3 linked regions of the Saccharomyces cerevisiae S288C genome follow. Changing the gene in region 2 together with the main gene of any one other region gives a genetic interaction. Each region holds a gene or a part of one and is shown on either strand. Other genes may lie near its edges. The genes, in order: ERV15, RGM1 and CBP4.

The links.
Region 1: mutations in RGM1 (region 2) and ERV15 together harm fitness more than expected from each alone (negative genetic interaction), as found in Saccharomyces cerevisiae (2 studies listed by BioGRID).
Region 3: mutations in RGM1 (region 2) and CBP4 together harm fitness more than expected from each alone (negative genetic interaction), as found in Saccharomyces cerevisiae (2 studies listed by BioGRID).

Annotation. Positions count from the first base shown.
Region 1 is NC_001134.8:643,888-646,642, forward strand, and holds ERV15 (Erv15p), read left to right. Parts: upstream 1-1,662; coding exon 1,663-2,091; downstream 2,092-2,755. Other genes in the region: AME1 (Ame1p), read right to left, coding at 2,271-2,755.
Region 2 is NC_001145.3:623,863-626,955, forward strand, and holds RGM1 (Rgm1p), read right to left. Parts: upstream 1,306-3,093; coding exon 670-1,305; downstream 1-669. Other genes in the region: YMR181C (uncharacterized protein), read right to left, coding at 1-218; MIN3 (Min3p), read left to right, coding at 1,949-2,035; SSO2 (syntaxin), read right to left, coding at 3,059-3,093.
Region 3 is NC_001139.9:845,261-848,095, reverse strand, and holds CBP4 (Cbp4p), read left to right. Parts: upstream 1-1,690; coding exon 1,691-2,203; downstream 2,204-2,835. Other genes in the region: ERG1 (squalene monooxygenase), read left to right, coding at 1-1,163; YGR174W-A (uncharacterized protein), read right to left, coding at 1,355-1,441.

The sequences.
Region 1 (2,755 bases), on a different chromosome or scaffold from region 2:
CTTTCGTGGATTCCAAGATTCTCGAGGTATATTTCCAGTATATTTTGTATACCTGATATTATAGCCTTTAGCAACAACGAAATCAACATTTATCTCAAATTTCACCTGTTTCTCATTTTTAAGCGCCTAGCCCATCTAATCATCTTAACTATTCATCAGGGAAAATTAATATACATTGTGCTCTTAATGTTTCGAAAAATAATCAAAATCAATAGAAATAGCGTTTTGCTACTAACAAAGCCCTTTGATCCAAAGTTGGCTTCTGAGAACTTAACATTTCAGTAGAACAAGCCTCAAGCTTAAATGAAGAATGGCAAAGTAAATGAGACCTCTCTCTCCATATTTTGCTCAGAGCCTGTTAAGGAAAACAACACCGCACATTAGTGTGAAAAACTTTCCCCGCAAGCTGTTGGAAGATGAATCATTTATTATCTTTTGACTGTTAGCTACATTACTAGCTGTTATCAATCTCTCAGACGATTATATGAATATTGAGATAGTTGTTGGGATTAACTTATTGTTAGAGGCTATAGCATCAGATATACAAAATAAAATAAAAAGTTCTCCTCCAAGATATAGTGTAATCGATATTTCGATGTAATGCCATCATTATTTCTTCTATTTTATGTATTCCTATTGTCCTCTAACATTGTATCTGATAATATTCTAGTAATAGGATTACCATCACTAAATGATAGTTAATTCTCATTCCAAAACCGACTCCTGTCAATATTGAGGACCCATTTATTCCAACGGTCCAAATCCCCAATATTCCCTGCTCGGCAAGAAGTTAGAAAACATATCTTTCGTGCTCTTGCAGGCTTGCTGTATTATCATAACCGAAGGATGACCAACTTTGATCACCCCAGGTGGCAAAAACATAATACATGGTGGTGGTGTCGTTGTAAAAATCATCTTCTTTGGGTGTGTATAGGATCCCATCCAACACACGTGTTAAAATGACATCAGGTATCAATGCTAATCCGTCGTCACTGACAATAAGCTGAGTTGACATCACCTGATGATGTGAAATAGTAGCAAGAGAACTAGGGTAAGGTTCATGCTGGTTGTTTTCCTATGATGACCAACCTTTGGAATTGGGTAATTCTAGGTGTAGCCTGCTAGCCATCAAACGAGACCTTTCAAAATCTTCAGTCATTACATTTTCTTCTGTAAATAGGGAAAAAAGCCTTTAGCTAGGATTGTTCGGCAATAGAAAGCCCTCCAGTTTAAACTTGACATAGAAAATCTTTAAGGTTAAATCAAACATAAGTTATTATCCGATATAGTGTAACGGCTATCACATCACGCTTTCACCGTGGAGACCGGGGTTCGACTCCCCGTATCGGAGTTATTTTTTGTTTCTATACCATTATTTTTCTTGAATGTTGCATTATGATAGTATAGTTTTGCTATACAAACTTCAATTCTCAAAACACAGTACGTCTAGCTCACTACTACTCTCTCTAATTCAAAATCGTTCACTTCTATCGAAAGCTGTGATAATTTGGAAATATTGTCGTGGGCCACGAATGATTTTTCAATTACATTGCTAAATACGAAGACATTAATACCTTTATTCATATAAGCACTTTCATTATCATTTTTTACTAAAGATAAAACTAACTGCAGGCACCAAGAAGTTCGAAGCCAAGAGTAAAGATGTCAGGAACCGGATTATCGCTATTCGTGACGGGTCTTATACTGAATTGTTTGAATTCCATTTGCCAGATATACTTTACTATATTATATGGTGATCTTGAAGCAGACTATATCAACTCAATCGAACTGTGTAAGAGGGTGAATAGGTTGAGTGTACCAGAGGCAATTCTACAAGCTTTCATTTCTGCATTGTTTCTTTTTAACGGGTACTGGTTCGTATTTCTCTTGAATGTCCCTGTTCTAGCATATAACGCAAGTAAAGTCTACAAGAAAACACATCTACTGGACGCCACGGATATTTTCAGAAAATTGGGTAGATGCAAAATTGAATGCTTTTTAAAATTGGGATTTTACCTTCTCATATTCTTTTTCTACTTCTACAGAATGGTCACAGCGTTACTTGAAAATGATGCAAATTTGATAAGCTAATAGCGACAACAGGAAAAAAAAAGAGAGATTTGTGCATATCTATGAAGTATGTCTACCACATAAAAATGACCTTATAACACAACTTCCTTAGTATGGAAGTAATACATATATACATATATACATATATACATACATATATATATATATATATATATATATACATCTTTTGAACCAATTCCCTATAGACTTGGTTGTAATTCGTTAGAAAGATTTTCATTAATTTTATTTATCTTTTTCAGAAGTCCGTTATATGGATCCATCAAGTCTACGAAATGTGCAATATCCAGAATATTTGAGTCATCCCGTATTGAATCGTCCTCGCTATCTTGGCTCATAATTTTGCGATCTCCCTCGTATTTGCCTAGCAAAGTAGAAGTCAAATCATTTAGCCTCTTATTTAGCTTCACTTTGTCGTTCAGTTTGGCTTGTTCATTTTGTAAGTCATGCCAGTCTTTACCGGCTTTCAACTCTTGAATTTCATTTCGTACCGATATTATCTGCTGGTTCAAATCTTCTTTTCGAGCAAGTACCTGCTTCAGTTGGTAGCAGAGCTCATTATTCGACACGTTGATATCTAATATGTCTTTCAAGTCTCTGGTCATTTGGTCTGATATCGTTTGAAAGAGTCGCAGATCTAATTTGTACAATAGTTTCCTAAATTGAT
Region 2 (3,093 bases):
ATGCCGTCTTGTTGGGTAGTGAATTCATCACTAGAACTCACCCTACTGTTGTTGGCAGTGTTATAGCTGAAAATGCCCGAGTTATTTTTACTATTGGGTACCGAGGGAGAAGAATAGAATGACTGAGGGCTGGTGAGGTTGAATTCATGTTGTTGGATGCTTTCCGTAAGGTAGAGGCTTGTGTTCATTTTTGCTTCCGCCTGCAAAAGTGGAGTCATTTTTTTTTTGTTCTGAAATCAGGAGAATTAGAGTAGGGGGAAGGTGAGTAAATATAAGGGGTCGAGGAACAAAATCCTTATAAACAATCCGTAGAGTAAAACGCTGCTTGTTATCTTACAGCAATGTAATAACAAGCAAGAAAGATAAAGCAATACGAACCAGTTGCTACTTGGTGGCACAGACGTGCGAATTAATTAAGGTTGTGTGGACAGGAAAATAGCGTTTCCCTCGAAGGGTATTGTTCTTGTTCTTTTTATATTTTCGGCATTTTTATGCTCGGCATTTCCCAACAGAAGCGGATATATTTTAAGGGCGCGGAGATGAGCCAAACGGCAAGCGATATCAAAATATCTGCATAATAACGGCAATCAACGCGCACGCGAATGGCCAAGAGGGTACAATAGCAGCAATGATGCGGCTTGTGAAATGGAGGAGTGGGTGCGGTAGAGCTTATTTTTTTGCGTTTGGTGAAGCGTCCTTGGCCTGGTCAAAACTTTGCACCTTAGACGGCGATGCTGGAGTGTCACTGCTATCTGGAGGGAGCTCTACAATGTTGTGGTTTTGTATGGGAGTGTGGTTCAGGAAGAGTGGTTGCATATAGCTGTATATTGGTAGTGGAGGAGGCTGATGCGGCAATGGTATGGGAGCAGATGGCATAGGATGAGGGAAGTATGGTGGTGCGTAAAGAGATATAGTGTCTTGTGGGCTAGCAGGAGTTGATATGGGCAGATTGTATGGAACAGGCGCGGGCTGGACAACAATTCCATATGGGCGTAATTGCGGGAACATTCTTGTTGCGTTAGGGTCGTTCGCAGTGCTATTTGCGGACTGCTGCAGTCTACGTAAGGACATCAAATCAACGTCCGAATGAACAGAAGATTGATGTTGTCTTAAGTTATCGATTCTACTGAAGAATTTAAGGCAGATATTGCATTGGAATGGTTTCTCCCCTGTGTGTTTCCTGATATGTCTAGCCAAATGTTCGGTCCTATTGAAACTCATGTTACAATCAGGATATCCCACGCATCTATAATTTCTCTTGACAGAAGCGTTGTCTTTGTTCCTTTTCGGTTGTTTTCCTCTCATGTTTAACCAGTGTCATGCTAATTGTCCTGGACTATAGACGTGAGTGGGGAGGAATAGTGCTATGAAGTCGCAATTGAATCAAGAATACACGAAAGAAAGAGAAGGAGGCGTCTGTTCATATACACACAAACAATAGTTGAAATCAAGAAGATACAATGAAAGAAAAGAGAAGGAAAATAATGTTATAAACGATTGAAGGGATCCGCTGAGGAATGAAAAAAAAAAATAAGAAAGTAAGAGAAGGGAAAAAAAAAAGAAAAAAAGAAAAAAAGAAAAAAAGAAAAAAAGAGGGAATGATCGAAGATAAAAATTCTCAGAAATTTGAGAAGAAGGAAAAACTCTACTTAAATAAAGATAAACTTTTCATGGCTTGAGAGTCCGGCATCCACGTAACTTAATGGTCCGTGCGGTAACATGGCAGGGTGTGCAGGACCCTATGGCTCGAGAAGTTGCTACCGGTGTTTAATTTTTTTTTTATCTTAATATTAGGAAGAGAAAAAGCATCAGTTACGAGACTCCTGAAGGAGCGCCGGAAAGTTTCTTTTTTTTTTTTTTTTTTTTAATTTTTTTTGTGTGGGGAAAGACCGACTACCAGTAATACTTTAAAGATATTATTAAAAGAAATCCCGAAAAAAGAAAGACCATGAGAAAACCGAGTGCGTTTCATGCATGTAACATAATATTTCTTCCCCTCGTTAAGTGTGCATCAGCAACCATAATGCTGAATTAACCGCAAAGGTTACCATAAAGGATCGCATATAAACAAAACTCGCCCTTTCTCCTGCATCCCTTACCGAAAAGGAAAGTTTATATACACTTAAAGGAAAGTGCTACTGTAGGTCGTCAGGCCGTTGATGTACTGCTCTTCGAGACAACTATTGTACCTTAACTGTAAGAATTTGCTCAAGCCCTCAAAAAACACAACGTGCGGGTAACGACAACGAAGTGGGCGCAAGACAAAGATGGAATATCCTATCCGATGGGCACTATAAAAGGCGAAGGGAAAATTAGTTTTTTTTCTTGTCAAGCATTTGCCGAGCGCTTCAATGTTGATTGGTCTAGAAGTAACAATCAAGACAGATAAAGTCTAGTACGTGTGCAGGTTAATGCGCAAGTGAGAAGTGTAGATATTGTAGTTGTGATATTTACTATTCTAACTTGGCGCTATTAACGCTTTCACAACCCAAAAACATCAAGAAAAGCCTTTCAATAAATTGCTCTTCTCTTGGCGAAAGAAAGCGGGGGGCAAAAAGAATCACGGGACTTATGTTTCGGGATCTCTTTGTTTCTTCTTTTTTTCCCGGAGAATAATTTTTTAGGACCAATTACCGTAGTTGCGACTACAACAATTGTTGTTCATACCCCCACGATTTACTTTTTGAAAACTAGTTTTTGGAATAATAATGTTGTAAAATTTCCCTTTTTCCACCCCGATTTGTATTTTATTTTTCGTTACAAAATTGGGACTAATATTAAGGGCGACAGTTTTTCTTAAAAGTAAGATTTTTTACTTAAAAATTCTTGTTCTTAACGAAATTACATACGTATTAAAATTATTTATTAGATAGTCGGTATTGTCTTTTTGTGAAAAAAAAAAATTATAATACTAATTGTTAAAAAGGCAGGTATGAGGAGGGTATAGTAGGAAAGAGAAAAGACGTTACAATTTTTAGGTTTTCGGTTTTAATAGAAATTGTTTGATTACACATAATAGGAATTGGGGGGCTGGCGGGAGGGAGGCGCATGTGCTCTATTACTTTCTTGTTTCCACAACGGATGGAACAACCA
Region 3 (2,835 bases), on a different chromosome or scaffold from region 2:
CTAAAGTTGAAAAATTGAAGGACTTGGTCAAAGATGGTAATGACAAGGTCTTGGAAGACAGCACTATTCACATCAAGGATTACGAAGATGATGAAAGAGAAAGGGGTGTTGCTTTTGTTCATGGTAGATTCTTGAACAACTTGAGAAACATTACTGCTCAAGAGCCAAATGTTACTAGAGTGCAAGGTAACTGTATTGAGATATTGAAGGATGAAAAGAATGAGGTTGTTGGTGCCAAGGTTGACATTGATGGCCGTGGCAAGGTGGAATTCAAAGCCCACTTGACATTTATCTGTGACGGTATCTTTTCACGTTTCAGAAAGGAATTGCACCCAGACCATGTTCCAACTGTCGGTTCTTCGTTTGTCGGTATGTCTTTGTTCAATGCTAAGAATCCTGCTCCTATGCACGGTCACGTTATTCTTGGTAGTGATCATATGCCAATCTTGGTTTACCAAATCAGTCCAGAAGAAACAAGAATCCTTTGTGCTTACAACTCTCCAAAGGTCCCAGCTGATATCAAGAGTTGGATGATTAAGGATGTCCAACCTTTCATTCCAAAGAGTCTACGTCCTTCATTTGATGAAGCCGTCAGCCAAGGTAAATTTAGAGCTATGCCAAACTCCTACTTGCCAGCTAGACAAAACGACGTCACTGGTATGTGTGTTATCGGTGACGCTCTAAATATGAGACATCCATTGACTGGTGGTGGTATGACTGTCGGTTTGCATGATGTTGTCTTGTTGATTAAGAAAATAGGTGACCTAGACTTCAGCGACCGTGAAAAGGTTTTGGATGAATTACTAGACTACCATTTCGAAAGAAAGAGTTACGATTCCGTTATTAACGTTTTGTCAGTGGCTTTGTATTCTTTGTTCGCTGCTGACAGCGATAACTTGAAGGCATTACAAAAAGGTTGTTTCAAATATTTCCAAAGAGGTGGCGATTGTGTCAACAAACCCGTTGAATTTCTGTCTGGTGTCTTGCCAAAGCCTTTGCAATTGACCAGGGTTTTCTTCGCTGTCGCTTTTTACACCATTTACTTGAACATGGAAGAACGTGGTTTCTTGGGATTACCAATGGCTTTATTGGAAGGTATTATGATTTTGATCACAGCTATTAGAGTATTCACCCCATTTTTGTTTGGTGAGTTGATTGGTTAACTACAGCTTATAAGGGAGAGAGGATAGGAACCGTCAAACATTAAGCTGCACCTTTTTTTTTTATTACAGAAGTCGGCTTGGAAGGCTTGTATAGTACATTACGATAAACACATCTTATTTTTATTTATTACTTATTTATTTTACATATTTTCAAAAAAATTCACATATCATTTATTATTAACCGAAGTGTTTTATACTTTTTGTTCTTTCCTTAAAAATGCCTCCAACAGAAAAGGAAAAATGGCTTGATATGCTTCAAAATATGCATTGAGATTCATATTCGGTTATCAATTAACGATATTACTTCCTTAAGTGATATTAAATCAAGCTTGCCGGATTCTGCAGTCAGAATTATACATAATAGTATTTGTGCTCTCGTAAATCCTTTCAGAATTACACCATAGTAGTCTTTGTGAATGTTCTACTTATTAGAATAGATTATTGCTAGTTTATCTCACTTTTCATTCCCCATATCCCTTTTTTTGCTCATCCCCCGGGGTATTTTATCAAGATAAAATTTTATATACATGCAGTGCGCGATAACTCCTAGAGAGGCAGTAATAGCAAAACAAAGACAGTATAAGCATTATTTGGGTATGGAAAGACCATTGTGGGTACGTTGGTTGAAAGTCTATGCAATTGGTGGCGCTATTATTGGAAGCGGGTTTCTGCTTTTCAAGTACACAACGCCAACAGATCAACAGTTAATCAGCCAGCTTTCCCCAGAATTACGTTTACAATATGAGAGGGAGAAAAAACTACGTCAGTCGGAGCAGCAGGCTTTGATGAAAATTGTTAAGGAAACTTCTCAAAGTGACGATCCAATTTGGAAGACGGGCCCCCTTCAATCACCTTGGGAAAGGAACGGTGATAACGTTCAAAGCAGAGATCACTTTGCTAAGGTGAGGGCGGAGGAGGTGCAAAAAGAAGAGTTGGCTAGGATCAGAAATGAACTGTCTCAGCTAAGATCTGAAACGGAGGAGAAAACAAAGGAAATAGTCCAGGATAAGCAGGTTAAAAGCTGGTGGCGCTTCTGGTAGATGGGTCGGGTCACTCAATTAGGAAGGGCAGCTTGAACTTTTGCATCCTAAAACATACGTCTGTGTCATTTATGATATATTATTTATTTGTACACTGTAAATAGGTTTAAAAATATAACTTCATACTTATTTTTAGCTATTTTAGTTCCCATACTTGGGGATGGAAAAAACATTGCGCAAGCCCGGAATCGAACCGGGGGCCCAACGATGGCAACGTTGGATTTTACCACTAAACCACTTGCGCTTGTTATTTATATGAGATTATTGCATCATGCAATGGGGTAATGTCAAGGTTCTTGACAATCCTAATATAAACAGTCTTAGGGAAGTAACCAGTTGTCAAAACGGTTTATCAGCTTGATTCACGGGATCTTACTTATCCTATATATTATATAAAATATGGATCATACTAAATGGTGGAAGCGCGGAATCTTGGATCTAAACCAATTGTTCAGATACTTATACGTTAGAGTAGGTTAGCTAAGGAAGGCAGAGTTTTATTTTCATGTTGCTCATTCTGTTCGTTTTGCTGTAAGGTTGTTTCATATGTGTTTTATGAACGTTTAGGATGATGTATTGTCATACTGAGGTATCCCATTCTGAGATACAACAGAGAAGGTTCCTTTATACTT